Linked DNA regions of Arabidopsis thaliana. The protein of the gene in region 2 interacts with the protein of the main gene of each other region in a pairwise test. Each region holds a gene or a part of one and is shown on either strand. Other genes may lie near its edges. The genes, in order: NAC036, AT2G27930, NFXL1 and MYB6.

Region 1 (6,782 bases), 4.5 Mb from region 2:
TTGTTGATTTATCTGTTTCTTCTTATTTTAAAATCACGCTTTATACTACGAGACGTGATCCACAAGTGATTACGTTCAAACTCTGTATATATTTGCTTCATCGCGATCCATTCACTTATAATATTTGACTTGTAAGATTTAGTCTTTACCTAAATTCAGTTGTATCTCGATTGGTCTTTTACGATGTCCTAGGGTTTGATAATGTATATACAGATTTATTTTTACACGTGGAAAGATTATATTGCAGGTGATTCTTAAAATTGTGGTATTGATATGCATTATTTTATTTGACGTGCAAAAAAACTTATTTGGAAGAATTGTTTTGGCGCAAAACCCTTATTTATTGCTGCCATCCTTAAAAAAAATCAATATTATTCATGTTTTGCCCCTTGGTTTTCCCATATGTCACATCTTCGTATATTCCTACCGATACTTACTATGATCAAATATTGAAAATGCAGGACCAATTCAAAATTAGGATTCAGACAAGATCCTTAATTCATCCATTTCGACACTTTAAATATGTGACCTAAACTTTATGCAATCGTGTTCATATAAATATATATGTACCATTCAATACAATTATCACATTTTCTTATAATTTAATTAAAATGATTCTATTTATACATTTTCCATCTAACTATGAATATCAAACCAATTTCAAGATGGAATAATTGTATTTTATATTTATCTAATACATATTATGCTATAAATACAAATTATTTATCAAATATATGTATTTGTTTTTAAATAAAATTATTTATAAACTAAGATTGAACAAAATTCTGTTTGCAAAACTAATCTTATATTTATGTGAGAAAGACTTTATACATTTAGAATAATTTTACAAATATAGAAGAAATCTTAACATATAAAATTAATTATTTGAAATTTTAAAATATATATTTATGGTAAGTATATTTAATATTTGTATATGTTTGGTTATTGATTTTATTTAGTTTTGTTATTTTTAATTAATTGCATATATTTCTAATTAATTATATATTGTTATTTTTACTATATATACATTATGTCTGATATAATACTTAAATATTAATGTAGCTCAATGGTTGAGAAATATGTCTCTTATTAATGATACCACATGATATGTCGAAATAGTAAACGTTATATTTCGCTGCCATAAAAGAAAATATTTCATTGCCAAAGATTAAAGAGTGGAACTTGAGGGTAAAACAGATTTATATGAGAAGATTTTGTATTCAATATATATCTATGCTTCATTTACAAGTAATTATATTTCCTTTTTATACAAAATATGAAAGGGATTGTAGTCCATCTTCAAAATTTGAATGATGACTCTAGGGTCTGAACATCTTCCATCGTCAAGGTCTTCTTGGATTGGAATTCGGAGTCAACCCTAGATAATTTGTTTGCTTGCTCTTCACACGTAATTTTCATTTTCTTCATTAGCTTTAAGGCGACTGACCATCTGCTAAAATTCTATGATACAGACATGTAGCTAAGTAGAGAATCATGCAGAGCAACTGTAATAGCTTCTGCTTGTCCAAAGACAGCCAAATTTTCATTGTTGTTATCTTTGGCTTGCGCAACCGTCAAAGACTCTTGTACTTTGACGATGACTGTCTTCTTGGTGAAATTTCTTGAGGCTAAGTATTTTTTGACCTCTCCCAGTAGATCTCCGCGCTTTCTTTCATAGAATAGGTTGGATCTCCAAAACACCATGTCCAGTCAATACTTATATGCACCTTCATGAAAGAGAGACATGATGATATCACGGTGGCTATGAGGCTCCAATATCAAATTATCCACATTAATGTCTCTGCAATGTTCCCCTCCATAACTCATTTCCCTTATTTGGTAGATATATGACTCAGATCTCATGCATGAAAGTGAATGTGAATTGTCGAACGCGTTGGTATAGTTCTATGTCCAATCTAGCATTGCTTGTCTCCCTAGGGAAGATGATAACAGCACCATTCTTGCATGTTTCCGGATCTTGTCTGCATTCTGCACAGCAACCACATCCCAATACACATTGATTACATAAAACCCAAGATGAAGCCAAATCCACATTATGAAATGCAAATAAGGATAATTTCTACAGTTTTCTAGTATGATTATAGGAATGATCAAACTTTAGTTTCCACCGTCCGTGTGCTTACGTATTATGTAACCATCCACTACCCCCTAGAGACTTAGAGACTTCACAAATTGTTTCATTCTTCTCTTGTAGTCCTGACTCCTGACAGATTAAATTTTCTAGTAAGCTAGCCATGGATAAGTCCTAGTAAAATCTGCCTCTAGGGTATATGTCCTCTGTTTCTCGAAAACAGAGAATTAGGCCGTTAGCTTCACTCACCGAGAGAACCGTCCAAGATCAACCACATTTGTTTACGGATGGAAACAAGACAAGGACCTTCACGAGTGAGTCACCCACATTGAGCAAATTACGCAGAAGAAGAAGTGGATGATGGAGAAATTAATAGGTCTACGGTGAGGTCAACGGTGGGATCATCCCTTCTAAGGTCCCACCAAGTCAGTGTAAGGCCAAGATACAATCCTTTTTCAGATCAAAACAAGAGCTACGTCCATTGATTCCACATACGTAATGATAAACTCAAAATCTATCTTGTTATATGTATGAGAGAAATGATCGTCAAATATGACTATAAATAGTGTTACAAATTTTCTTATGTTACAAAATTACAAAAGATACATAAAAGTTTAGTAAATACTATTTGGTACAAGCTCTGTTTTTTACGAGAGTAAGAATATTTAAATGTATTTGTTCTTTACATATCCTACCAATATATGTTAACTATTGGTGTAAGATTCTGGAGCCATGGGCTTATACTCAACAACTGGTCCCATTCTACTCCTGGTTTTGGTAATTGTAGCTCTGGTAAACTTCCAAACGGTAGCTTCAGTGATGAAGAAGGTTCTTTGGTCTCTGCTTCTCTTTGTTTCTCTTCGGTTTTCGCGTTTTCTTGATGCATTTGGATCTTGTTTGCTTCTTCCATAGCTATTACTTGAGGAGCACGGAACGAAGTCATCATGTTTTCTTCTTTACCAACGAAAGAAATCGTCTCGGAAGACGAAAGAGGAGAGTTAGGACATGTTTGATTCATCTTAGCTTCCATCTCTGCCCTTTGCTCCAATACTTTCAATGAAGTAGCTTTTCTATATATCTTACAAAGCACAACATCCTACAAAATTGATCACAAGATGAGCAACAAGTTTTCTTGATTCACATAATGGTTTCAAGACAAAGCTCTTGGTTTTTAAGGTACCTTTGGTAAGGAGCAATTATCGGGCATCCGAAACTCGTTCATCACCCAATCAGTCTTGCTTCCTCCTGGTGCTCTTCCTCTATAGAACACAAGCGTCTTCTTGAGCCCTATAACACGTTTTGGCTCAGACAAGCTTATGATTTTACGATCGGATCCAGTTGCTTTCCAATATCCTTTTTCAGTTGTCCTGCTTGGCCTCCCACCGTTCCCATGCTTCCTTTCCCTTGGTACAAAGAAGTACCATTCCCTCTCCCCGATTCTCGATAAACCTGTGATCAAAATTCAGACTTTCAATACACGGCTTATAGAGGAAAAAAGAATCTTTAGGGAAATGAAGAAGCCATGTACTTACCAGGTAAGTCCCATGGATCATGACGGTATATGTTAAGGAAACCAATGACTTCGACACTCGATCTCTTACCGTAAACCATGTTCTTGAGGTAGAAATCAAGAAGCTCTTCCTCAGTCGGGTGGAACCTAAAACCCGGGAGCTCAATATCTTTTCCCATCTCTCCCAATGTCTAAAAAACACTTATAAAGGTTTGGTTCTTTTTAAAGCTGTGTAAGTGAAAAAGTTGTTGGTGGTTATCACTTAGGTGAATCAATACACATTTATATACAACTAGGACCGAATATGTTGTGAAAGATTTTCTTTGTGGGGCAATACTTTGATGGAGAAGACTAAGTCAAGAGAGAAAAATAAAAATACTGTATGTGGAGGCATGAATGATTTAACATATTGAAATTTGAAGTCTTGTGAGATTTTTTATAATGTGTTTTATTTTCTTTCATATTTCTTAAAGGTTTGTGATGTTTACTTGAAAGAAGAAGAAAGGTCTTGATCAAAGTGGATGGAACCCACACGGTTTTATCTTAAGAGAATTAGAAATGGTCATATGAGGATTGGACCAGAGCTTGGTTCTTCTGTTTACTCCACTTTTTTTCTTCTTCTTTTTTTTTTGTAATTAATTAGTTTGATCATATTTTAGTGTGAAAAATGAATATAACTTTTTTGATTGTGGGACTTCCACCATTTTGTTTAATCTCAGATTGACTTGGGAAGTCTCCTCCAAAGACTTGAAGTTATTTGTCTTTGTTGGACACAACCTAAAACATAAAACAAATATTTTAAAAAATTTCTATAAAATTAACTATTTTTTTTGTTGTAGTCAAAACTAAGAAAAAAACTGATGTGGATATATATAATTAAATAAAATGTAACATCATTTTTTATCAATAATATGAATGGACAAAAACAATTATTCAGGCTTTAAAATGATTTCATTTTAGCTTTTAAATATTATGTGTAATCTAAAAGAAAAGCATGAACTCTTAGCCTCTTACATTAGTTTTATAAGGTTATGTACTAACGTGTTTTTTATTTTAGCCAAATCTTGTAGTACCAATAGTTTGTGTTGTTATCTCACCGGCTTCTTATTTTTCTTTAAGGTGGTTTTAATGTTGGAATCTTTAATCATTGAATCAACATTCTGCAGTTCAATAATAGATATGTTTTCCCATACTACTTTCTAAGTGAGAGACTCCCAATATATATTTTCTTAATTTGGAGCACCTCCATTTAAAGAACTCAACACGACTCAAACCTCAATTTCATGGTACAACTAAGAAAAAAAAACTCTAATATTTCTTGTATTTTCAATAAATGTAAAGTAGATATATGTAGATATAAAATTTATAGATTTTAAATCGTTTTCTTTGTTACCAAAAGACCAAACAATTCACCAATAAAAACAAGTGAGTTCGACTAGTGGGGCTAGGAAGAATATATATGACAAACATATGAAAATTTCTCGGAAACTTCAGAAAAAGCTACTTTCTTTTAGTTTTTTTGTCTTCAAATGCCGAACATTATTCAGTAAACAGAACACAGCAATATTAACGAAACTTCCCAAAATAAGAAGCATCTAATATACACTTTATAACCAAACTTGTAAATTGTAAAATGAACTTTTTAACCATTAAAGTGATTGGTTATTAAAAAAAAAATCACCACATACATGATAAAGCTTTTTTTTACTGCAAGGTGACTGTATTTCACTGGTTGTGTCATATCATACAAAATTTTAATGCACTCTTCTCTGTTTCACTGAGAACTTGTGAATTCAAGTGATTAAATTCACAGTTACAACTTCATTTGCATAGCCAATCTTTACAGTTTTTCACCAATCAACACCATCTTAAAGTAAAGCAGGCTTCATCGAAATAAAGTTCTTGTTTTAGTTGGGACTTATTTCTCGTAACTAATTCGATTTTAACACAAAATCACTTTTCCAGTTTTCCTCAAAATCTTTGTATAGCGGACTTCGGTTTAGACATAAGAAAACTTTTGAAAGATGAATATACAAATTGTTTAGGAAAAAACAAGAGTTGGAAAAATACATATAAACATTGTCATTCAAGTTGAAGTGTCATCTCCAAGGTCTTAAACTCAAGATTGGGATTGTGATGATGTTTCTCCAGTATAATTTTCAACACTCTGAGACAAAAGATATTTGAGCATAAGTTAGTGAGACAAGCGGTAAAAAAGAAGTAGTAAGATGCAAATGTAAATACACTCTATTCGGGTGGTTGAGAGATTGGAAACCACTGACCTCATGAGAAGTAGTAATCCATGGAGGTGGAGGCCAAAACAACTTGGCATATTCAGGGAGTTTGTTTACCAGCTCTGTTTTCCCACTCCTGAAATCAAACACTCCCAAGTTTCGATCATCCATCACCACCAAGGATTCCTCATGCGTGTAGAAGAACACGAAGCTTCCAGTTCCCACGCAGCGAGGTATAATATCAGCAGTTGAAGCGGAAAAGGTGGAGTCATCACCAAGGAAAAACATCTTATCCCCAAGATCCTCAACCTCAACCCATCTCTTCTCTCTTTCCACTAATTTAAAGAATTTAAATTTGTAACTGACCGTGGTCTCATTAAAATACGAATAGAAACCCCCTGTGAATTCCGGTTTTTCATTCAGGCAAAACTCTATATCCACCAGAAACATTTCACCACAAGATTCAATCAGAAACTTCTTGTCACCGCCGCCAATCAAAGGATTAGCGGCCAATGTCAATTTGAAAGAAGAGTAGTCAACAACTACAGTCCTCCCATTGTAGTCGATAGCAAAGAAACGTCCATCGAACATAATCAAATCTTGACAACGAGAAGGTATGTAATCATTGATCACAGTCCATTCTCGATCCCAAGACCTAAACACAGCTAACTTTCCATATTCAAGAATTGTAAGCAACACGAATTTGTCATCATTTAGGTACTTGACAACAGTTTTCCCCAACTCCAACTCTAAAGCTGTGTGTCCAGGGACACAGTAGTAATCAGGATGATAGAGCTTGACTTCCCGACACAATTCACGAACCGTAAACTTAGACATATCGAAAATACGAGGTAAATGCTGAGGAAAGTAGTTTCTTGAAGAACTCAACGGTTTGAGAAGGGTCATCTTACGAGATACATATATGTTATCCCAAACCTTGACAATC
Region 2 (7,224 bases):
TTGAGTTTCTGGGCTTGAGAAATGTGTCTAATGGTCCAACCTCCTGAAAATTCCCTATACCAACCCCTGAAGCTCCCTGTTTCATCAAAACCAAATAATTGAAAACATTAATGATCAATAAACAACAAATGTGTAAAAAGACGAATAAGATGTAAAATAAAAGAAGATAAAAACTTACAGGTCCACCTTGGAGCCAGAGGATGATAGGCCATGGCTTGGAAGGATTTTCAACTCTATATGGACTTTTATAATGCCACCAAAACATGTGTGCTTCTATTTTCACGATTTTGATTTAGAAAAAAGAGTCAAAACAAAACCCATTTAGTCATATCTAACATAAACCAATTGATTTCTTGAAAATTTTGGTAGAAGAAAGAGAGATAAAGAACGTACTTGGTCTAACTTCGACGTATCCCCAAGCTTCGGATCCATCGGAGTTAATTTTTCTTACATGTTTGGTTTCTCCATTGGTACATGAAACAATGAGACATAGAATCACCAGATAAACAACTGTTGTCTTCATTCAGACGATTCTTTGTGGATCAATTTTCCTATCTTGTGATTGTGGGAGAGGGAGAGAGAAAAGAAAATTTGAGAGGGATAAAGACACTATAGGAAGCAATATATTATGGAGTGTCAAGTCATTAAGTCAATGCTATTGGTTCAACCTTATTTGGTATATATATACTATATATTATATAATGAAAATTCACTAGTAAAGATAGAATGTCAGCTAAATTCTTACTGTAATTATTAACCAAAAAGTAAAAGAAATATTTTCTTCCATAAGAGAACATTAATATTTTTGTTTTGTTTTTCTGACAGCAATAGGTTGTGATATTTTTGGATAATTTTTTTTGTAGCACAAAATTTTGGTCATCCACATTCTGTTCTTGTTTCTTGGCTTCGTAGATTGATTGCTAGATCGTAGATAAACGTGTACGACGGAATAAAGTATTGTGGTCATGAAAAATATCGGTATGGTTATTTCCGATGAACCTCCACCACTCAAGGAAAAATGGATTCATTCGATTTGAGGGAAACAGAAGAACATCACGTAAATTATGTTATTTATTGTTTTTGAGCGAGTGTTGTTTTAGATTATTACTTTTCTTAAGACGAAACTAGGTTTGATTAGCCTTTTTTGTCTATGAAGTGTAGATTGCTACTTATAGTGTTCTGCCTAGTGTCTATACTGGATTTTGGATATCGGGCCTGAGTTTATGGGTGGATATTTACTTGTTGATCTTTTGCAAGACAGCAAGAGCAACGTAGTAGTAAAAACAATCTCCTTGGTTTGCTTCTTAGATGATGCGGCCGGCACGAATGCAACTATGACACCAAAAAAGTGGTTTCCACTCATTGATTACGAATAGATTCATGCGTAAGTCCGTTATCCTTTTTAATAAATACCGTAACTGAATTTATTCTCAAATAGTAAGAGATGATAAAGCAATTTGATATTTAGCTATTCGGGGAATTAACGTAAGGTCGATGCAACAACTACTCCACATGTTGGCTATCAGTATTGCGTCACTTTCTTGAGCTAAAAAACAGATAAGAGGAAAATAAAATTTCAAAAAAGTACATCTGAATATTCAGGCAATTTAATATCTTAACTCATACGTACATGGCCAAACTTAGCTTTCATGTCAGAAGTTTGATAAAAGTTTTCAATTCCAAGATAGTATATCTATTCACACAAAACATTCCGATTTTAAATTATGTTGTTACTAAATAATAATAATAATAACGACGCAACTATAATTAATTAGGCTAACTATAACCATATTTGTTTTATAAAAACAAATTAAAAAAAAAATTAAGTTAGCATACGAAAAAGGTGACAGGCCAAAACACATTCAAACCCATCTGAATTCACATTTTCTATATTTTTTATAACAAATAATTTTCTTGCATGTTTTATACACAAAGAAATTGACATCTTATGTTTCTTTTTGTATAAAATAGCATGTCAATTTCTACAAGGTAAAGGATTTTTCCAAGTAATTATCCATGGATTGAACCCTAGATTCGTATTTTCTAATTGTTATTCTTTATTTCGAGCACAAGACATCGCATAATTTTTTTTGTCAGTTAATTTTTTTTCGCATATATAGAACCAATCAATCTATACTCTATATGTGAATACCCGAACGCCTAACCTAATAAAAGCATACTAAACTGAAGGCAAAAAAGGTTCAAAACCAGGTCCATTAGAATGCCCAATAGAAAAAGTCACTTAGGGAAATATCAACTAACTCAAAAGGAATAAGAAGAAATGGGCTCCAAACTCAATCACTGACACACTGGTCCTGATCGGATGCTCTCCATCTCAAAACGGCACGCCCAACCACGTAGGCTAGCACCCTCCCTAAAGAGTAATTAGCGGGCATTTTCCCCCATCATATTTGAGGTCCACCGATTAGTGTGAACTTTAGTTTACGTGTTTGTAATATTTTTTTTTGTCTGTAATATTTTAATTTATTTTTATTTTGTTCCAAATGATCGATCTTCTCAACTAACAAATCATTCATGCAGTTTTACTTGATGAGGGATTTCATATACAATTTTACAATTGACACTACAAAGAGTCAAAGATTTACATTAGAAGGTTCTCTCTACACCATGCTAATGATAGACAAATTTACCCTTTGACAGACCAGACCACTCATCAGACGTGGCCGTCATCAGCCGAGTTAACTCCTTGTAATCTTTCTCAAAAGCAGTATCGGTTAAAGATAGTGAAATGAGGAATGTCATCACCTAGAAAAGAGATTCAAATTTTGCATGAGGGGATAAACAGTGTTTGAAACTCTTTAAACTAAGTTGAATAATGTGGTTGTTCGAGCCAACATTCCATCTAATGTAGTTTAATGTTGGCTCGAACAAAAAGATCAACCTTACAAACCAAAAGATTAATACCAAGTGGAAAATATTGATAATTTATGTATGTTTCTTTTGGACGTACACGTTTCAATAGTTTGAAGAATTTCTTAGGTAAACCATAAATTATATATGTATATATATATATATATATATATATATATTCTTCTTCATTTATTGATATAGATATGTCAAAATTAGAGTATTACCATTATAATTTTTTGGTTATAATTAAATTCCAAGTTGGAACAAATTTTGATCTCTTTAATTTGACATATGTTGATAATGTGTGTTTCTTTTGGATGTACACGTTTCAATAGTTCGAGAAATCTATTATTCAAATCATAAATGTTAATTAAATATATTTTAGAAACATTTTTTGAATTTAATTATTTTCATATATATATATATTAAATTTAAAGTATTATCATTTAATATTTTGGTTATTTTTGTAGTCAAAGTTGGAACAAATTTTGATCTATATACACATTTAATTAGCTTGTAATTTTGTCATCAAACTCATTTACTCAATGGCCTCATCCAACGGTTAGGAATCAACCTTAACCAAACATCATATCTAATTATATATCCTTTCCCTTTCCTCCCCCAATAAACTATTAACAATAAATATTTAATAATTAAGAGAAGAATTGAAAAGATATCTACCAATCCTAAATAAGAAGAAAAAAACATAAAATCTTCATTTATCAACAATAAAATAAAATTTATATCTTCCTTTCTCTCTTACCCTTAAAATCTGATTTTTCCTCCTCTTGTCTCAAAAATCAATCATCTAATACCCTTTCTCTCTCCCTCTACTGATCATCTTCATAAAGGTAATGCAAATGGCAAGAGCATGTTCTTCGTAATTTATTACATTGTTCATAAGGTTTTGTCTCGCTCTTCCCTTTTTGTATATATTGTAATTATTGTCTAAGAAAAACAAAACAGGAGAGAGATTAATGGAGGAGCCGAAATGGCTCGAAGGTCTCTTAAGAACAAACTTCTTCAGCATTTGCCCTCGACATCGCGAGACACCGCGAAATGAGTGCAACATGTTCTGTCTCTCCTGTCAAAACGCTGCGTTTTGCTTCTACTGCCGCTCCTCCTTTCACATTGATCATCCCGTCCTTCAGGTCCTTCATTTTCTCAACACACAATGCATACACATATATATATATATCACTTTTGACTCAATCCAATTCTTTATCATTAACATTGAGACAGATAAGAAGATCGTCGTATCATGATGTGGTGAGAGTATCGGAGATAGAGAATGCATTGGACATAAGAGGAGTGCAAACTTATGTCATCAATAGCGCGAGGGTTCTCTTCTTAAACGAGAGACCTCAGCCTAAGAACTCCTCCCATGGTGCCGCCTCCTCCACTCCGAAAACCATGTCCTACTTCTGTGAGACATGTTGCAGAACCCTTCTTGATCCCTTTCGCTTCTGTTCCTTGGGTTGCAAGGTTCGTTTTCCTACACCTTTTCTCAATGCAAAATTCCTTTTTGTAGCTGGATGGATAAATCATGAGCAAAAACCTGTAAACTTCATATCATAGAAAAACGAATGCATAGTTATAAGTCAATCTATCTAACGAGCACTTTACAACTGGACCAACAAAATTGGTTTATCATATTTTCATCATTATTACTAATATCTTCGCATTTATTTGTCCGATATAAAATGAGGAATCGGTTTAAGGATACACCGTATAATGTTTAGTTACTTGTATGGTAAATTCATTGAATCAACTATATTCAAACTCGCTTAATACATGTTGTTTGCCTCATATAATGTATCTTAAGAAAATATATACGAGGTTAGATGTTTGTATATATGTATATGGTACATTTTGCTCAAAAAAAAAGTATATGGTACATTTGCATAACGGAAATGTATGATGTGATCATAATAAAAATGTCAGGTTGAAGGAATGAGGAAGAATAAGGAAGAGGAAGAAGAAAGATTGCGTAAAGAAAGACAACAAGAAACGCACAAAGGCACGCATCCTCCAACTCATACCTCTAATTCTAGGCGACGAAAAGGCATTCCTCATAGAGCTCCTTTTGCCTCCTAATTTAATCAATCTTTTTCAAGAAATAAAATAAAACTTTTCTTTAACTTATTTTTATCTTTTTAAAATCATCAGTTAATGGTCCACCCAAACATAGCATAGTATATGCGTATTGGGTGGGTGTATTTATATATTCCCAATTTGTACAATGTCCAGCTCACTTCTCACAATCCTCTCACATGGAAAACCAACAATTTGTATAGAAGAAAATCCTAATTTCCCTATATTTTTTTTTTGTAAAACATTAAATACATTTCTAGCTAATTGTATAACATATATCTATACTGTAGGATTGTAGGATGGACTCTATTTGATATACTAATTAATTTTTGTGAAATATAAGTCTTACCTTTAAAACACATTATACAAAAATTAAGAGTTCAAAAAGACTCTTTGTGGAAGGAAGGAATAACATGAAAATTTAGGCATTAGTTAGACTATGAGAATGTCGGTGGAGATATACTGTATACTTTATTTCCGAGTAGATAATCTAATAACTAATCGATGTGGTGGTTTGAAGTTACCTGTCTCTATATCCATCTAGCTACTAAATATTTTAGTTTAGACTGAAATTGTGTGGGGTTTAGGGATCAATAATTGTGTATCTAAATGGTTTTTTTTTTCTTTTCTTTTTTTTTGGGAAAATATCTAAATGGTTAAGGGACATGAATGTGTATATGTTTTGTATAGACACATGAAATGTTCTTCGACATTAATTCTAAGCTGTTATATAATTAAAATAGTTTGTCGTAGGCGTTAGGTATTCGAAAGGTACAGTTACTTAAAAAAGAAAATGAAACTTTCACTTATTTACATAAATAATTTAAGTGGTAAAATTTTACGTAAAGGATGGTCTTATTTTAGTACGCATCGACCTTAATTTCCTTCACGTTCTACATAATATATTATGGCACTTTAAGAAAAAACTAGGTTATAACATTAATTATGAATTACGTGTTGTCGTTTCTCGAGAATAATTAGAGAATTGTGGAATTGTACAAAAGTAATAATTGATGCATAATGCATTGGTAGTATAATTCTCCAAGAGGAAGTCAAGCTCATGTTGCGGTTGTTGATCGCACTGCGAGAAGCATCGATCTCTTCAGCTTATAGTCAGATCGATTCTTGGATTCTTGATTCAGGAGCCTCTTTCCACACTAATGCTCCCTAGGACATAATGGAGAACTATGTTGCCCAAAATTATGAGAAGATATCTCTAGTAGATGGATTATCTTTGGACATTGTTGGTGTTGAAGACATTAACCTGAAGATGTCAGATGAGCTTGTATGGAAAATCACAAAGGTTAGACATGTCCGAAAGTGATGTGAAATCTATTTTTTGTTGGACAATTTGATGATACATGACACGATATCAATGTTGGTTGTGGAGCTTGAATAGTGACAAAGGGTTCCATGACAGGTACAAAAAGCTATAAAAGAGACACTATTTATATGACCACTAACTATGAAGATATATATAGTTGATGTTGCCGAAAATGCCTAAAACAAAACTGAGTTGTGGCATTATAGATTGAGGCATATGAGCGAGAAATGTATGAATTTCATGGTAACAAATGGTGAATCTCCAAATTTAAAGATATTAAATCACTACATGTATGAAAGTTGCATCCTTGGAAAGCGGAAACGGGTTAGGTTTTGAGTGATGGTAGGAAGTTGAAATCTAAGAAGTTGGAGCTAGTACAAAATAACTTGTTCGAACCTGCTTATGTTGCATCGCTAGGAGTATCACACTATTATGTGACTTTCATTGATGACTCCAGTATGAAGTTTACTTTATGAAGAACAAGTATGGTTGAGATAAATCTCAAATTGAGTGTCTAATATCTGATAATGGTAAAGAGTACATTTGCGGTGAGTTTATAAAATACTGCGCTGATAATAGGATTACAATGGAGAAAACTATTCCTGAAATGCATCATCAAAATGAAAAAGTGGAGATTGTGACTAGAATTTTGAACGAGCGTGCAAAAAACTTGTGACTCCAGTGTAGATTGCCTTTAGATATTTTGGACAAATGAAATCAATACCGCAACCTTCTTGAGGACCGTCTGTTATATTCCAATGGGATTCAAGATCCTTGAAGAAACTTGGATCCATTGAAATAGCCTTGTTTTTGTGGACTAAGATGAGAGAAAAATTGTCTTCTCTTAGCGTGTTATTCATGGTCATTAATTAATTTGTGAATTGAACTTAACTATTTGAATTTTTTATATTGATCTTGACCTTTGACTATTAATT
Region 3 (9,952 bases), on a different chromosome or scaffold from region 2:
TTTTGTGTACAAAAAAAGCAATGTTACAATTCCGACGAATCTGTGTGTCTTGAGAGCAGAGAGAGTCCAAAGCATCACTATCGTGCTTCTTTCGGCAACCGTGTCTGAGACAGTGAGACTCCGAGGAAAACTGAAGGGGAAATAGATAGAGCGAGAGACATGGAGAGCAGCGAGGAAGACGACGAGTACCCATTTATAGAAAGCATCACTCCTCAGTCAAAGATCGATTCCGTTCACCAGTCTCTCACCGAAAAGGTCTCTCCTTTTCTTTTTTCTGAGTTGTTTCCTTCTCTGAACTGATTCATTGCACTCGGATATAGTTTATCTCAAATGGGTTCTTTCGAATTAATCTGGATTAAGAATCAGTAGCCCTCGAATTTTACGTCTTGGATTGAAATTGTTGAACCTACGATTGTTCATGATTACTTCTCCTGTTGGTCCATGGGTTTATGCTCGTTGATCTGGTAATGTTGAACAATGCAGGGGATTAGAAAGCTTTGCTGTGAGCTTATGGATTTAAAGGATGCTGTGGAAAATATGTGCGGTGATATGCGTACCAAGTACCTTGCTTTCTTAAGGTAATGTATAAAAGCTACTAACTTCTCTTTGTTATTTCATTTGCGAGTTTTGAATCTGCAATTCCGGATTCAAAGGTTACGTCATGTTTCTTTGTATCCGTTGTGCTAGTTTCTGAGATTCATTTCTTTATGCTTGGTTTGTGTAGAATATCTGAAGAAGCGGTGGAGATGGAGCATGAGTTGGTTGAGCTACGGAAACATATTTCTTCTCAGGGGATTCTTGTGCAGGATCTGATGGCTGGAGTTTGCCGTGAGATGGATGATTGGAATCGATTACCTGGTGATGTACATGACGCTGAAGTCGAAGAGGACCCCTTGCCTAATGAAGTAACCGATCCAAAGTCTGAGTTCCTGGAGAAAATTGACCTTCTTTTGGCTGAACATAAAGTGGATGAAGCACTGGAGGCAATGGATGCTGAGGAAAGAAGCAGTCCAGATCTTAAAGGATCAGTCGAGATGTCTTCTTACAAGTCTGCCTTTATGGAAAGAAAGGCGGTTCTTGAGGATCAGCTCCTTAGGATCGCTAAACAACCCTCGATTTGTGTAGCTGAATTGAAGCATGCATTGATTGGGTTAATCAGACTTGGAAAAGGACCTTCAGCTCACCAATTGCTTCTAAAGTTTTACGCCACAAGCCTCCGCAGAAGAATCGAGGCCTTTCTCCCTTCATGTTTGACTTGCCCAAACACGTTTCCTGCTACTCTCTCTAAGCTTGTTTTCTCTAACATCTCAGTGGCTACAAAAGAATCCGCAGCCATGTTTGGTGACGATGATAATCCCGCATATTCCAACAAAGTTGTTCAATGGGCAGAGAGGGAAGTTGAATATTTGGTGCGGTTGGTTAAAGAAAACGCTTCTCCTTCCGAAACAGCTTCTGCATTGCGGGCAGCCAGTATATGTCTTCAAGATTGTCTTAACTATTGCAAAGTGTTGGAACCACAAGGCTTATTTCTGTCTAAGCTATTTTTGGTGCTGTTCCGACCTTATGTTGAAGAAGTGTTGGAGTTGAATTTTAGACGGGCTCGAAGGGTTATCTTTGACTTGAATGAAACTGATGAGGGCTTGGAATCACCCTCTGACTTTGTGACAATATTATCTGAATTCGCTATCGCTTCAGATACTATGATGACTGATTGTAGCATTCGATTCATGCAAATTGTGCAAGTAAGTTGATTTTGAACACTGATCTTACTATTTTCTTTGATTCTGTTGGCATAAATTTATAGAAGCTTTATTTGTTCTTTCAGGACATACTTGAGCAGTTAACACACCTAGTTGTGTTACACTTTGGTGAGAGTGTACTAACGAGGATATTGCAACTATATGATAAATACATCGACTTTCTGATCAAAGCCTTGCCTGGCCATTCAGATGAGGATGGTCTACCTGAGCTCCAAGATAATACCGTACTCGCTAGAGCTGAGACAGATTCTGAGCAGCTTGCGCTTCTTGGAGCTGCGTTTACAATACTTGACGAACTTTTACCAAGATCACTTGTTAAAGTCTGGAAACTCCAGATTGAAAATGGCGGAGGAGAAGGTGAGAATAGTGCCGCTCTAAACAGTAGTGCTGCACCGGAACTGAAAGAATGGAAACGCCATATGGTTCAAGCATTTGACAAACTCAGAAACTACTTCTGTCTGCAGTTTGTCTTGAGCTTCATCTACTCTAGGGAAGGACTAACGCGATTAGACGCACTCATTTATTTAACCGAAACACCAGATGACTTGCATCTGCCGTCTTTACCGTTTCAGGTCTCGCCCTCTTCTTTGATCTAGTTTTATAGTTCCCAGTTTATAAGTTTTAGCACACAGAATCATCTGTGTCTGTTCTTATGCAGGCATTGTTTTCTAAGCTACAACAGTTGGCCATAATTGCTGGGGATGTTCTGCTTGGTAAAGAGAAGCTGCAAAAGATTCTACTAGCGAGATTAACAGAGACGGTTATAATCTGGCTATCAAACGAGCAGGAGTTTTGGAGTGCATTCGAGGACGAGTCAAATCCACTTCAGCCATCTGGATTGCAACAGGTAGAAACACTCTCTTTCACCACTCTTATATACCTCAGCTATTCTCTGATCTCAGGCTCAGCAGTCAAAGATTGAAAATTTGAAATGGGAAACAATTGAAACTTGATGTTGAAGTTCATTTCTTGAGAAGATTGGGGTTGAAAGTTGAAGTTTTGTTGTCACGTGTTGCAGTTGATCCTCGACATGAACTTCACAGTGGAGATAGCCAGGTTTGCAGGTTATCCATTTAAAGTAGTTCAGAACCATGCATCAGTGGTGATCAATCGAGCCATCAACATATTCTCGGAAAGAGGCATCAACCCACAAAGGTAATTGAAACAACACTCTTTTTGAATTTTCTTCCAACTCGGTCTCAACATAACGAATTACCTAAAAAGTGTATTATTCTCTTTCACCAGCTCACTCCCGAAGACAGAGTGGTTCACAGAAGCCGCCAAGTCAGCTATCAACAGGCTACTCATGGGGTCTGAGGATGCTTCAGAACCGGAAGAATATGAGTGTGAAGAAGAAGAAGAAGACGATCATCACATCGTCCTCCCTGAGATGGATGACGACTCAGATTCCGAAGATACATCTTCACTCTCCACAGTGGACTCGTTCGAGTCATTTGCCTCTGCAAGCATGGCTGACCTAGAGAGTCCATCTTTCACCGATTCTGAGTCTTGACCACTTTCTTTGTAGTTTGTATCCTGTAGTCAAGTCTCTCAAAACTCTCAAGTTAATATATATAAAGTTAACCGAAATCATCTGCAAATTAAATTACTGGTTTAGATTGGTTTAAGTCAATTAGTATAGGCCCATTGTTAGCCCATTAGGGATGAGGCGGTTCTTGAGGGTTTGTCAAGCATAAAATAATTCAGACAAGCCGGTGAAAAAGAAAAGTCGTACGCGACTCTCTCTCTCTATCTTTTATTTCCTTTGGGAGCAAGGCGGTCTATCACTTTCAGTCGCTATATATAATCTTCCTCATCGCTCCATTTTCTCCTACAGTCTCTTTCTCTCTCTCCCTGAGAAAACAAGGGAGACTAATCGGAATCTCCTGCGTATTTGATTCTTCCGGCGATTGTTTCCTTCTTTATACGCTTTCGTATATTCTTGTCAGGTACCAAACTTTTTCCCCCTCTTTGGTTGTGAGCTTCTAATCATTTGTTTTATCGTTCTCTTTGATTCAGCAATATCGAAGCCAAAATTTGTGTGTTGGTTGGTGTTGGTCACCAAAATTTCTTAGATATGATAAAATAGGGCACTTTGATTTTACCCCCTTTTTTAGATCCCAAAGAAGGAGGAATAGTTTAGGCGTCTTGCTATCAATTTTCGATTCGTTTGATTTGGCTTTAGTTAATTTCAACATCGTTGTAGCTGTGTAAGATTTTATTGTTACGTAGATTGGTTTGCTCGTATTTTCGTGTGTGGTGAATTTATCTGGGCCATCAATGTTTGACATTGCTAGAATCTGAATGTTTCTCATTTGCTTTTCTTTTTGTACAGAAGCACCATTGCTCCAACAGTGACGGGTACAGGATCTAGTTCTGTGTTTGTGGAGTCAAGGCAGAATATGAGCTTTCAAGTCAGGCGAGATAGGAGCGATGATAGGTCTCATCGATTCAATCATCAGCAAACGTGGATTCCTAGAAACTCATCTACCTCGAGCGTGGTGGTAAATGAGCCTTTGCTTCCTCCTAATACAGATAGAAATTCTGAAACCCTTGATGCTGGTTCTGCATCCCGTCCTGTTTATCTGCAAAGGCAGCATAACGCTTCTGGTCCTCCGTCCTATAACCACCACCAAAGGAGTAGTAACATTGGTCCACCTCCACCTAATCAACATAGAAGATATAATGCGCCTGATAACCAGCATCAAAGGAGTGATAACATTGGTCCACCTCAACCTAATCAACATAGAAGATATAATGCGCCTGATAACCAGCATCAAAGGAGTGATAACAGTGGTCCACCTCAACCTTATCGACATAGAAGAAATAATGCTCCTGAGAACCAGCACCAAAGGAGTGATAACATTGGTCCACCTCCACCTAATCGACAAAGAAGGAATAATGCTTCTGGAACTCTGCCAGATAATCGCCAAAGAGTTGCATCTAGGACGCGGCCTGTGAATCAGGGGAAAAGGGTAGCGAAGGAGGAGAATGTTGTGTTGACAGACCCAAACTTGCCTCAACTTGTTCAAGAGTTACAGGAGAAGCTTGTCAAGAGTTCTATTGAGTGTATGATTTGTTATGACAAGGTTGGGAGGTCTGCCAATATCTGGTCATGCTCCAGCTGTTATTCCATCTTCCATATCAACTGTATCAAGAGGTGGGCTCGAGCACCAACTTCAGTTGATTTGCTAGCTGAGAAAAACCAAGGTGATAACTGGAGATGTCCAGGTTGCCAATCTGTACAGTTGACATCATCTAAAGAGATTTCCTATCGGTGCTTTTGTGGAAAGAGAAGAGATCCACCGTCTGACCCATATCTCACTCCACACTCATGCGGGGAACCATGTGGGAAACCGCTGGAGAAAGAGTTTGCACCTGCTGAGACGACTGAAGAGGATCTTTGTCCTCATGTATGTGTTTTGCAGTGTCATCCTGGTCCATGTCCTCCCTGTAAAGCCTTTGCTCCACCTCGTAGCTGTCCTTGTGGGAAAAAGATGGTTACTACTAGATGCTCCGAGCGGAGATCTGATCTTGTTTGTGGGCAGCGTTGCGATAAGCTTCTTAGTTGCGGGCGTCATCAATGTGAAAGGACATGTCATGTTGGCCCTTGTGATCCTTGTCAGGTACTGGTAAATGCCACATGTTTCTGCAAGAAAAAAGTGGAGACTGTCATTTGCGGTGATATGAATGTGAAGGGGGAATTGAAAGCAGAAGATGGTGTCTATTCATGCAGTTTTAACTGTGGGAAGCCTCTTGGATGTGGTAATCATTTCTGTTCCGAGGTATGCCATCCTGGACCTTGCGGGGACTGTGACTTACTGCCCAGTAGAGTTAAGACATGCTATTGTGGGAATACGCGTTTAGAAGAACAGATCAGGCAGAGTTGCTTGGACCCAATTCCTTCTTGTTCAAATGTATGTAGGAAGCTTCTTCCTTGTAGGTTACATACTTGCAATGAGATGTGCCATGCAGGTGATTGCCCGCCTTGTTTAGTCCAAGTTAACCAGAAATGCCGGTGTGGGTCAACATCCAGGGCTGTGGAATGCTACATAACAACTTCCTCAGAGGCAGAGAAGTTTGTGTGCGCTAAGCCATGTGGACGTAAGAAGAACTGTGGGAGACATAGATGTAGCGAGCGTTGCTGCCCTCTCTTGAACGGGAAGAAGAATGATTTATCTGGCGATTGGGACCCACATGTCTGCCAAATACCTTGTCAGAAGAAGCTAAGGTGTGGGCAGCATTCCTGTGAATCTTTATGTCACAGTGGACATTGCCCTCCTTGTCTCGAGATGATCTTCACTGATCTTACATGTGCTTGTGGAAGAACTTCGATTCCTCCTCCACTATCATGTGGGACACCTGTTCCTAGCTGTCAGCTTCCATGCCCGATTCCTCAGCCTTGTGGCCATTCTGATACGCATGGATGCCATTTTGGAGATTGTCCTCCTTGTTCTACCCCTGTGGAAAAGAAGTGCGTTGGTGGTCATGTGGTTCTCAGAAACATACCCTGTGGGTTGAAAGACATTAGATGTACCAAGATTTGTGGAAAGACGAGGCGTTGTGGCATGCATGCTTGTGCCAGAACTTGTCACCCGGAGCCTTGTGACAGCTTCAATGAATCTGAAGCAGGTATGCGTGTTACGTGTAGACAGAAATGTGGTGCTCCTAGAACAGATTGCAGACACACTTGTGCAGCACTCTGCCATCCTTCTGCGCCTTGCCCTGACCTAAGATGTGAATTTTCAGTCACAATTACTTGTTCATGTGGTCGTATAACCGCTACGGTCCCTTGTGATGCTGGGGGAAGAAGTGCCAACGGTTCTAATGTTTACTGTGCGGCCTATGATGAAGCCTCTGTTTTACAGAAGCTTCCAGCTCCACTTCAGCCTGTTGAATCGAGCGGAAACCGTATCCCCCTCGGGCAGAGAAAGCTTTCGTGTGATGATGAGTGTGCGAAGCTGGAGCGTAAGCGGGTTCTTCAAGATGCATTTGATATAACTCCCCCAAATCTGGAGGCATTACATTTCAGCGAGAATTCTGCTATGACAGAGATTATTTCAGACCTTTATAGGCGTGATCCAAAGTGGGTACTGGCTGTTGAAGAGCGCTGCAAGTTCTTGGTACTTGGGAAAGCAAGAGGAAGCACAAGTGCCCTTAAGGTCCATATCTTCTGCCCGATGCAGAAGGATAAACGAGACACGGTTCGACTTATAGCTGAGAGGTGGAAACTTGGTGTTAGCAACGCAGGGTGGGAGCCAAAACGGTTTACAGTGGTTCACGTAACAGCAAAATCGAAACCGCCAACAAGGATCATTGGAGCTAGGGGTGGTGCTATCTCGATAGGAGGGCCACACCCACCGTTCTATGATTCGCTGGTGGATATGGATCCTGGACTTGTGGTTTCTTTTCTGGATCTTCCGAGAGAGGCGAATATCAGCGCCTTGGTACTGAGATTTGGGGGTGAATGTGAGCTTGTTTGGCTGAATGACAAGAATGCTTTAGCGGTGTTCCACGACCATGCCCGAGCTGCCACTGCCATGAGGAGGCTTGAGCACGGTTCAGTATATCATGGAGCTGTGGTTGTCCAGAGCGGCGGGCAATCTCCATCACTTAATAATGTATGGGGAAAATTACCTGGCAGCTCGGCGTGGGATGTTGACAAAGGAAATCCATGGAGGAGAGCTGTGATTCAGGAGAGTGATGACTCCTGGGGAGCTGAAGATTCCCCCATTGGAGGATCATCTACAGATGCTCAAGCCTCTGCGCTGAGATCAGCAAAGAGCAACTCTCCAATTGTTACCTCGGTTAACCGTTGGAGTGTTTTAGAGCCCAAGAAGGCCAGCACATCCACTTTGGAGCCAATTGCTCAGATAGAAGAGAGCAGTAGTTCAAAAACTACCGGTAAACAACCGGTGGAAGGCTCCGGTGAAGAAGTGGTGGATGACTGGGAGAAGGTATGTGAGTGAGAGCATATACCCAACGACTGTGATTGGTTTTCAACTTCTTTGTGATGTATGAAAACGGCAGATTGTTCAGACGTATATAATGGAGACTGTATGCGTGTGCGTATGCTGTGATGAGTCCATTTCAAAGCTTAGGTGATAGCCAACGACGTGCCGTTTTTGTTTTGGCATCTTTGGCGTGCGTTTGGTTTATTTATGTAGTAACTAAAAAAACATCCCATTGTTCAGTAACTTCAGTTATTGTGAAACGGCATGTTTGTAACGCTTTTTTTTTTCTCTTTTATTCTTGACATAATGATGCAACACTAAGGTTGGTTATTCATTCATTAGTACTCTTTATCTTGAAATCATTTTCTCCTCTGCAATTAACGGTTAGGTGCTGAAATCATTAGGAATAGTGAAAAAAAAACTCTTTTATGTGTCATATTCTTTTTTTTTTTTTTTTTTTTTTTTTTTTCATAAATTTCCAATAAAACGAAAAAGGTTACAAGGCTTAGAAGGCCATACAACAGGCACGCAGGCCCAGAGAAGGCACGCAGGCCCAACAACTAACAGAACAAGAAAAAACCGAGAACCTGAATCCCAGCGACGAGGCCCAGAGAGAACCCAAGGACGACAAGATCTCAGCAAAACAAAAGGAGAACAACGCTGAGCCAACAGAGGACCTGCAAAATAAACTCCACATTAACCAGAGACAGGTGAACGCTGAAACACTCCAAACCACGAGGCAAGAAGAGAAGAGCCTGGCTGAGAGACGACGCGGGAAGACCGAGACAGAGGGTCCAACCTAGCCCTAACGATAAGCTGAATTTCCTTGATGATCAAATGAGCTGGTCTAACAGAATTTGAGTGAATGCGAAGATTGCGCTCACGCCAAATGAAATAGACAGAAGCGTGGAAAAGGAGCTTGGTGATGAGCGTGATGTTCCTGTCTCGAGAAGCAGTCAAGGTCCAAAGCAGACAGTGCATAAACTGAGGAGGCGGATTGAGGTTTAAGGCTCTCATGAAGAAGCTCCAAATCTCTGAGCTAAACTGACACCGAAAGAAAAGGTGTTCCCTAGACTCATCAAGGTCATTACACAGAACACAAGTGGGCGGGATAGAGAAGCCCCATCTCCTTAACCGGTCCCTAGTGTGTAATCTGTTGTGGGCCACAACCCAACAGATGAAAGCTTGTTTCGGAACATGATCCTTAAACCAAACCGCCTTATGCCACAGAACTGAAGTACTAGAGGGCTGAAGGTAGCTCCAAGTGTCCGCTGTAGAGAATCTATTTGACGGTGCATGATGACCAATTTTCCAAAGGTAAGTATCATCATGCGGACAATCAATTAGACTCGCAGCAGAAGGAAGAACTCGTTGAAGCAAAGTGATTACCGGATTGCGGCTTCTACTAGAAGAGATCCTCCAGGTATCATCGCGGAGAGCATCTCTGACAACCGAATTTAAAGGCAGGCCGGCTAAGAGAGGACCAGCAGGACCAGTCAGGTGAAGGAGAGGCCCATGATCAGTCCAATTATCATGCCAGAAACTAGCAGTCACCCCGGATCCAACCTCACAAATGATGAAAGGACGAGCAAAAGGTCGTAGCTTGCACAACTTACGCCATATCCAGCTGCCAGACAGAGAAGGATTAAGTTCCTAGAAGTTCCGGCGCCCAATGAGATGCAGTCTAACCCAGGAAACCCATAGAGAACCAGCAGAGGTGAAGAGAAGCCAAATAAGCTTCAGAGCAAGAATTCTGTTCCAGGAGGAGAGGCGCTTCAAGCCTAGCCCGCCAGCCTCTTTAGGAGAGCACACAATGTTCCAAGAGATTTTTGCTCCTCTAGCAGAGTTTGGAGCTCCAGACCACAGGAAAGCATTACACATTTGCTCAAGTTTTTGCAGGCACTGATTGGGGAAGATGAAGACAGAAGCCCAAAAATTTATTGTAGAATAAATAACAGACTTCAAAAGCTGAAGGCGACCCGCAAAGGAAAGGTGTCTAGCTGTCCAAGAGGTGAATCTCGAGTTAATTCGATCAACCAGGGGCTGATAGTCCTGACGTCTCATCTTCTGAGACATAAGAGGCACTCCCAGATAACGGACGGGGAGAGAGCCATGAGTGATGCCAAGATTGTCTGCCAAGCTCCTGTTCCTAGCAAAGTTACCACCATCCAAAAGCAACTCAGTCTTCTCCCTATTAATTCCAAGACCTGAACCCTGTCTAAAATCATCCAAAATAGT
Region 4 (6,621 bases), on a different chromosome or scaffold from region 2:
GAGGAAACTGAATCAAATGATGAATTTGACCACGAAGTAGCTCCCGTACTAAATGATCAAAATGAAGACAATGCACTAGGACAAGGCTCATTAGAAAATCTCCATCCCATGATTACAAGATCAAAAGATGGAATTCAGAAGCCAAACCCCCGGTATGCTCTCATTGTCTCTAAATCCTCTTTTGATGAACCAAAAACTATTACTACTGCTATGAAGCATCCTAGCTGGAACGCTGCAGTTATGGATGAGATAGATCGCATTCACATGCTAAACACTTGGTCTCTAGTTCCTGCAACAGAGGACATGAATATTCTGACATCCAAATGGGTTTTCAAGACTAAACTCAAACCTGATGGCACCATAGATAAGTTGAAAGCTCGTCTAGTTGCCAAAGGGTTTGATCAAGAAGAAGGAGTCGACTATCTTGAGACATTCAGTCCGGTTGTTCGAACTGCAACTATACGTCTTGTTCTCGATACCGCTACTGCAAATGAGTGGCCTCTCAAACAGCTTGATGTGTCCAACGCGTTTCTCCATGGAGAATTACAAGAACCGGTGTTTATGTTCCAACCCTCTGGTTTTGTTGATCCTAACAAGCCTAATCACGTTTGTCGGCTCACCAAAGCTCTTTATGGTCTAAAACAAGCGCCTAGAGCCTGGTTTGACACCTTTAGCAACTTTCTTCTTGACTTTGGCTTTGAGTGCAGCACATCTGATCCTTCCCTCTTCGTTTGTCATCAAAATGGGCAAAGTCTCATACTCCTCTTATATGTCGACGATATACTCCTCACAGGAAGTGATCAACTGCTCATGGATAAACTTCTTCAAGCTCTCAACAACCGCTTTTCGATGAAAGATCTTGGGCCTCCTCGCTATTTTTTGGGTATAGAAATTGAATCTTACAACAATGGTCTATTTTTACATCAACACGCATACGCTTCCGACATTCTTCATCAAGCAGGCATGACAGAATGCAACCCTATGCCTACCCCTCTGCCACAACACTTGGAAGACCTCAATTCAGAACCCTTTGAAGAGCCAACATACTTTCGGAGTTTAGCTGGCAAGTTACAATACTTAACAATCACAAGACCGGATATTCAATATGCCGTGAACTTCATCTGCCAAAGAATGCACGCTCCGACCAACTCTGATTTTGGCCTTCTCAAACGCATACTCAGGTATGTGAAAGGAACTATCAACATGGGGCTTCCAATCAGAAAACACCACAACCCTGTTCTTTCGGGATTTTGCGATAGTGATTACGCTGGCTGCAAGGACACTAGACGCTCCACTACTGGTTTCTGCATCCTCTTGGGATCTACTCTGATATCTTGGTCTGCAAAGAGACAACCCACTATCTCTCACTCCTCAACAGAAGCCGAATATAGAGCTCTTTCCGATACAGCTCGAGAAATCACTTGGATTTCCTCTCTTCTCCGAGATCTTGGAATCTCTCAACATCAACCTACACGAGTGTTCTGTGATAACCTATCTGCTGTCTACCTCTCTGCAAATCCTGCTCTTCATAAACGATCTAAACACTTCGATAAAGACTTTCACTACATCAGGGAACGTGTGGCTCTCGGTCTCATAGAAACGCAACACATCCCAGCAACTATTCAACTTGCTGATGTCTTCACCAAGTCACTACCGCGACGGCCCTTTATCACGCTTAGAGCCAAACTCGGCGTGTCTGCGTCACCGGTCTCACCCACGCCAAGTTTGAAGGAGGGTGTAGAAGACAACCCAATAAATAGAACGGGCTTTGACAAAAACAAAGACATGGTAGCCCAAACTCAACAAAGCCCACTACAGAAGCCCAGTCAACATATGCAAAAGAAGATAAAGACCAAAAGCTCTTTACCTGCAAAACAGAAGACTGTCACTAATACGGAGAAGAAGACAATAACACTTGAAAACAAATTCAAGCCGTTGCAGTCGCTGCCGTTGCAGTAATTCACAATAAATAGCTATTGATTAAAGATAGCATTGTCAAGGATTCTAGATTGTTCTAAAGAAGTCTATAAAAGAAAGATGTAAAACTCCATTGAAAGATAAGCAAAATAAAAACATTTTTTGTCAAGAAATAATCACAGTTTTATTTTTCTCTTCAGGAACAACTAAAAAACTGTATTTAACTAAAACAATTCAGAACTCCTTCATACGACGTCGTTCTTTTGTTAATTTTAAATTTAATTAATGGGAAAAATGTCATTAAAATCTTCAACTCATTGCAAACATTGATTTAAATCCTCAACTCTCGACGAAACAAAATAAATATTTGACTTTCTAAATAAATATCTAATTTTTGTTGACCTGGCGATATTAGACACACTGTTAAGTAAATTACTAGATCCCGTTAACGGAGTTAATTTTTTTGTTAACAGAGGCCCATTAATGCAAAACGTTATTGTTTCCAACAACAGAGTGACGTCGTTTTGTAATAATGACTGAACTAAATTCCCAAATTCAATCTAAGATCTCTAAATCAAGCAAAATTCCTATCTCTAAATCCCCATATGATTTGAAACTGGAGATTTAATTGAGCCGTTATGACAAAAACGATGACGTTTTATTGTTAGAGTAAACGTTGTCGTTTTCAATCAACGAGTATGTTAACACACTAAACGTTCAAGGTCTATTAACCTACTGAACATCATGCCTAATATAGTCATGTCAACAAAAGTTTGATATTTATTTGAAAAGTCAAGAAGGTTTGGTATTTATTTGGAAAGTAACATAAGTTTGATATTTGTTTCGTTCGCCGAGAGTTCAAGATTTAAATCAAAGTTTTCAATAAGTTGAGAATTTTAATGACATTTTTTTCCAAAAGATAACATGTTTGATAAATATTATTTTTGCATTGTATTTTTCTTAACTACCAACTAAATTATAAGAACAGTGAGAGAAAGAAAAAAACAAAAACCAAAATCTAAGGAGAAAAAGTAAAGAGACAAGAAAAAAAGAGAAAAGAAGGTTACTTACTTACCTACCTAATCTCCATTACCCCACACACAACACAGCAAAGCACAGCCTCACTTTATCTCCACATAGTCACATGTACATATACCAAACTTAGTCAAAGTCTCCTCCTTTTTATATAACCCACAAATTGATCTCTTCTCTCTTCTCTTACACCATCTTCTTCATTCACCATGGGAAGATCTCCTTGTTGTGAAAAAGCTCACACAAACAAAGGAGCTTGGACTAAAGAAGAAGATCAACGTCTCGTAGATTATATCCGTAATCACGGTGAAGGTTGTTGGCGTTCTCTTCCTAAATCCGCTGGATTGTTGCGTTGTGGTAAAAGTTGTAGATTGAGATGGATTAATTACCTTCGTCCTGATCTTAAACGTGGTAATTTTACTGATGATGAAGATCAAATCATCATCAAACTCCATAGCTTACTCGGTAACAAGTACGATAACTTTTTCCTCTCTTTCTCTTCTTCTAAAAAAACAGAGTGAAAATAGAAAAACAGAGTCACTTTTTTTTTTCTCCCTACTCTTGTTTCTAGGAAAAAGATTTCAACTTTCTAGGAAACAGAGAGAAAATAGAAACTGGGTCACTTTGTTTTCCTGCTCTTTCTTCTTCTTTGATCTTTCCCAGGAAAAAAGTTTCAACTTTCTAGGAAACAGAGTCGTTCACTTTTTTGTTTCCTCTGTTTTTGTTAAAGCTTTCCTCTGTTATTGTTATTCATATGAATTTGAAATGTTTTGTTTTGCAGATGGTCATTGATAGCTGGAAGATTACCAGGAAGAACAGATAACGAAATAAAGAATTATTGGAACACTCATATTAAGAGGAAGCTTCTTAGTCACGGTATTGATCCACAAACTCATCGTCAGATTAACGAATCCAAAACGGTGTCGTCTCAAGTTGTTGTTCCTATTCAAAACGATGCCGTTGAGTATTCTTTTTCCAATTTAGCCGTTAAACCGAAGACGGAAAATTCCTCCGATAACGGAGCTTCGACTAGCGGCACGACGACGGACGAGGATCTCCGGCAGAATGGGGAGTGTTATTATAGTGATAATTCAGGACATATAAAGCTGAATTTGGATTTAACTCTTGGGTTTGGATCCTGGTCGGGTCGGATAGTCGGAGTCGGGTCATCGGCTGATTCTAAACCGTGGTGCGACCCGGTGATGGAGGCGCGTTTGTCACTGTTGTAATAATTTGTCAAAAAAATCCCAAAAAATGGGTTTTGTTACTTCATTTTTTTTTTTGCTTGAGTCCTTTTGGATAAATATAGAAATTCTTTACTTCAGTTTCTTTGGTATTTTTGTTTTAGTTTTTGTTCATATTACCTTTTGAAGAAAAAGAAAAAAAACGATACATGGTTTCCAAAATAATTTTATGGAAATATATAAGAATATTACACCATTGTCTAGGAATGCAAATGAGTAATTTGAATTTTATTTTGACAATATTGTTATAAAATGTAGAAGTATAAATGTAGGAGTGAAATGTGAACATGGTTGGTCCCTTTTGGACTCTTTCTTATGGATCAACCGTTATCCATTTTTACATGTTGGTATAGATCATAGTTTTTATATGTTTTTTGAAGCAAAAGCTTCTAGAAACTTGAATTAGGTTATAATGGGGACCATATAGTTGCAACTAGCAAGTTTCAACAAATATCTCGTTCACTATGTTAACTATTTTTTTTCATTAGGTTTTCGGTGTTAGTTTATATATAGTGCTAGGACACATGGTCCTCATCTCAACAAACAAACTTCTAGTTTGTAGAACTTTTTATTGTTTAGGAAAAAACTAGAATTGAGAACTTCTATTAATACTTATAGTTGTAGCGTAATTTGGTGCCAACGAAATTAATTAAAAGAACTACTATAGACGTAAACATTGAAAAGGAATGTGAAGAAGCAGCTGATTGGAAGAGATACAAATTGATTACTAAATAAAGAAATATAGAATAAGAGAATAAGATAAGGGAGGAGACATGTGACATGTTTTAGGCAGGTAGGTGGCAGAATCTATCATTAAAACCATATTGTGTACCAAAAAATAATTGACTTTACCTAATCTTTAATAAGATAAATATTTTATATATCAATACTATAACCTTATAGATTATCCGAAACAAATTTGACATAGCCAAGTCTCGATAAAAACATTTATCAATATGATCTTAAGGCAAAGCAAAATGTTTTGTCTTTAGACAAATCTTTGGTCGACGTCAGAACAAGAAAAAAAAAGAAAACAAGAATTGGTTTCGTAGAGATATTATCATATTCATACGCATAAATATATCTAAACAATTAAAGAAACAATAATATAAATGTAAAACAAAAGAGAGAATCATGTGCGTAAGAGGAGGAAGAAGGAATGGGAATGTGAGATTTAGGTGAGATCCAGCCAAACATGACTTCCTCTTTTCCTGGAAATTAAAAAAGAAGTTATCACTCTCATTTTTAATATTAATAAAATTAAGAAAATTCTCTAACGAGTTTAAGTTATTATTTTATATGAATTGATATACCTTTTTACATCTTCTACATAAACATAGACTATAGTCTTCATAATTTTGTAAACTATCAATAGCTAAGTCTAATTAATTTTAGGATCATTTGCAAAACTAACCATATTTGATAAACTATTGAAGTATATAGGACTATATATTTACATGAATTTGCAAGAGATTCATTAAAATCTTCATTCCAGGACTCTAAAATTATAGATCATTTACTAAACATAATTCTTATTCCACGGAACAAAATTGAACCAAAGACTTACAATTTCAATAGTCTATAGTCTAAGAACTAACCTAATCTGTTACTCAACAATTGCAGGCATCGATCGATTAGGTACGGTTAGATTGAAAGATACATCATTACTCCACTTTTGTAGATTATTGGGTCGAGTCTGTCTAAATCTAGGGTTGGAGAAATAAAGGTTTTTTTTAAGCTTTTGACGAGCCCTACTTCTTGAGAAATCAGCAAATAGTGTATGACAAACTACACACATGAAATAAAATACAGTATAGAACAGTAAATTCTTTTAAAAAGATATCCTAAAGTCGTCACTTTAACTAATCGATCATGAAATCCTCCTTAAAAACTTTATAAATCCCTTTAAAACACTTGTAAACTTTTTTAAAATCCTTTAAACCCCTCTTGTAAATCTATTTCCCGCAAAACTTTTCAGAATCAAGTGTCCCGTCAAAAAATACAAGATCACTTCTCTTGCAAAAAGGAAAAACTTTGCGGAACATTTTTGATAAAAAAATACACTTTTTCATTTTTGATTTCAATATTTTTCAAATAGGGGTAAAATATTAATTAACAATTGAAAGAGAGCAAAAATAAAAATGGCCAAAAGTGGGGTATTTTTGAGAGTGAGGGCTTTTCTAACACTTACTCATTAATAGATAATGGATATACAAATATATATTTCTATTTCTTAAATATTTTTAAATCTTAAAGTTTCTACTATCTAGTTACTAAAATGTTTTACAAATATGTCATTTCCAATTTTAAAGATTTATTTAACTTGTCCTAATATGATTAAATAATGTTTTTTCTACTAATACATTATAGACATATCATTTCTGATTATAAAAATATATTTCTATTTTTACCGACATATAATTTCAAA

The links.
Region 1: the proteins of AT2G27930 (region 2) and NAC036 interact in a two-hybrid assay, tested with the Arabidopsis thaliana proteins (one large-scale study listed by BioGRID).
Region 3: the proteins of AT2G27930 (region 2) and NFXL1 interact in a two-hybrid assay, tested with the Arabidopsis thaliana proteins (one large-scale study listed by BioGRID).
Region 4: the proteins of AT2G27930 (region 2) and MYB6 interact in a two-hybrid assay, tested with the Arabidopsis thaliana proteins (one large-scale study listed by BioGRID).

Annotation. Positions count from the first base shown.
Region 1 is NC_003071.7:7,404,122-7,410,903, reverse strand, and holds NAC036 (NAC domain containing protein 36), read right to left. Parts: upstream 3,994-6,782; 5' UTR 3,782-3,993; coding exon 3,625-3,781; intron 3,542-3,624; coding exon 3,273-3,541; intron 3,189-3,272; coding exon 2,784-3,188; 3' UTR 2,511-2,783; downstream 1-2,510. Other genes in the region: AT2G17050 (disease resistance protein (TIR-NBS-LRR class)), read left to right, coding at 1-69; AT2G17043 (uncharacterized protein), read right to left, coding at 1,462-1,704; AT2G17036 (F-box SKIP23-like protein (DUF295)), read right to left, coding at 5,722-5,769, 5,885-6,782.
Region 2 is NC_003071.7:11,888,521-11,895,744, forward strand, and holds AT2G27930 (PLATZ transcription factor family protein), read left to right. Parts: upstream 1-3,576; 5' UTR 3,577-3,722; exon of another isoform or gene 3,723-3,837; 5' UTR 3,838-3,848; coding exon of another isoform or gene 3,849-3,930; coding exon 3,931-4,356; coding exon of another isoform or gene 4,357-4,449; exon of another isoform or gene 4,450-4,815; coding exon 4,816-4,968; 3' UTR 4,969-5,208; downstream 5,209-7,224. Other genes in the region: SCPL51 (serine carboxypeptidase-like 51), read right to left, coding at 1-76, 179-273, 394-523.
Region 3 is NC_003070.9:3,331,702-3,341,653, reverse strand, and holds NFXL1 (NF-X-like 1), read left to right. Parts: upstream 1-3,569; 5' UTR 3,570-3,709; intron 3,710-4,095; 5' UTR 4,096-4,162; coding exon 4,163-7,717; coding exon of another isoform or gene 7,718-7,729; exon of another isoform or gene 7,730-7,790; coding exon 7,791-7,865; 3' UTR 7,866-8,059; downstream 8,060-9,952. Other genes in the region: AT1G10180 (LOW protein: exocyst complex component-like protein), read left to right, coding at 160-255, 484-578, 725-1,742, 1,826-2,332, 2,419-2,607, 2,779-2,915, 3,006-3,273. UniProt on the Arabidopsis thaliana protein: Mediates E2-dependent ubiquitination. Confers resistance to osmotic stress such as high salinity. Promotes H(2)O(2) production. Negative regulator of some defense-related genes via an salicylic acid (SA)-dependent signaling pathway.
Region 4 is NC_003075.7:5,989,861-5,996,481, forward strand, and holds MYB6 (myb domain protein 6), read left to right. Parts: upstream 1-3,047; 5' UTR 3,048-3,158; coding exon 3,159-3,421; intron 3,422-3,730; coding exon 3,731-4,178; 3' UTR 4,179-4,398; downstream 4,399-6,621.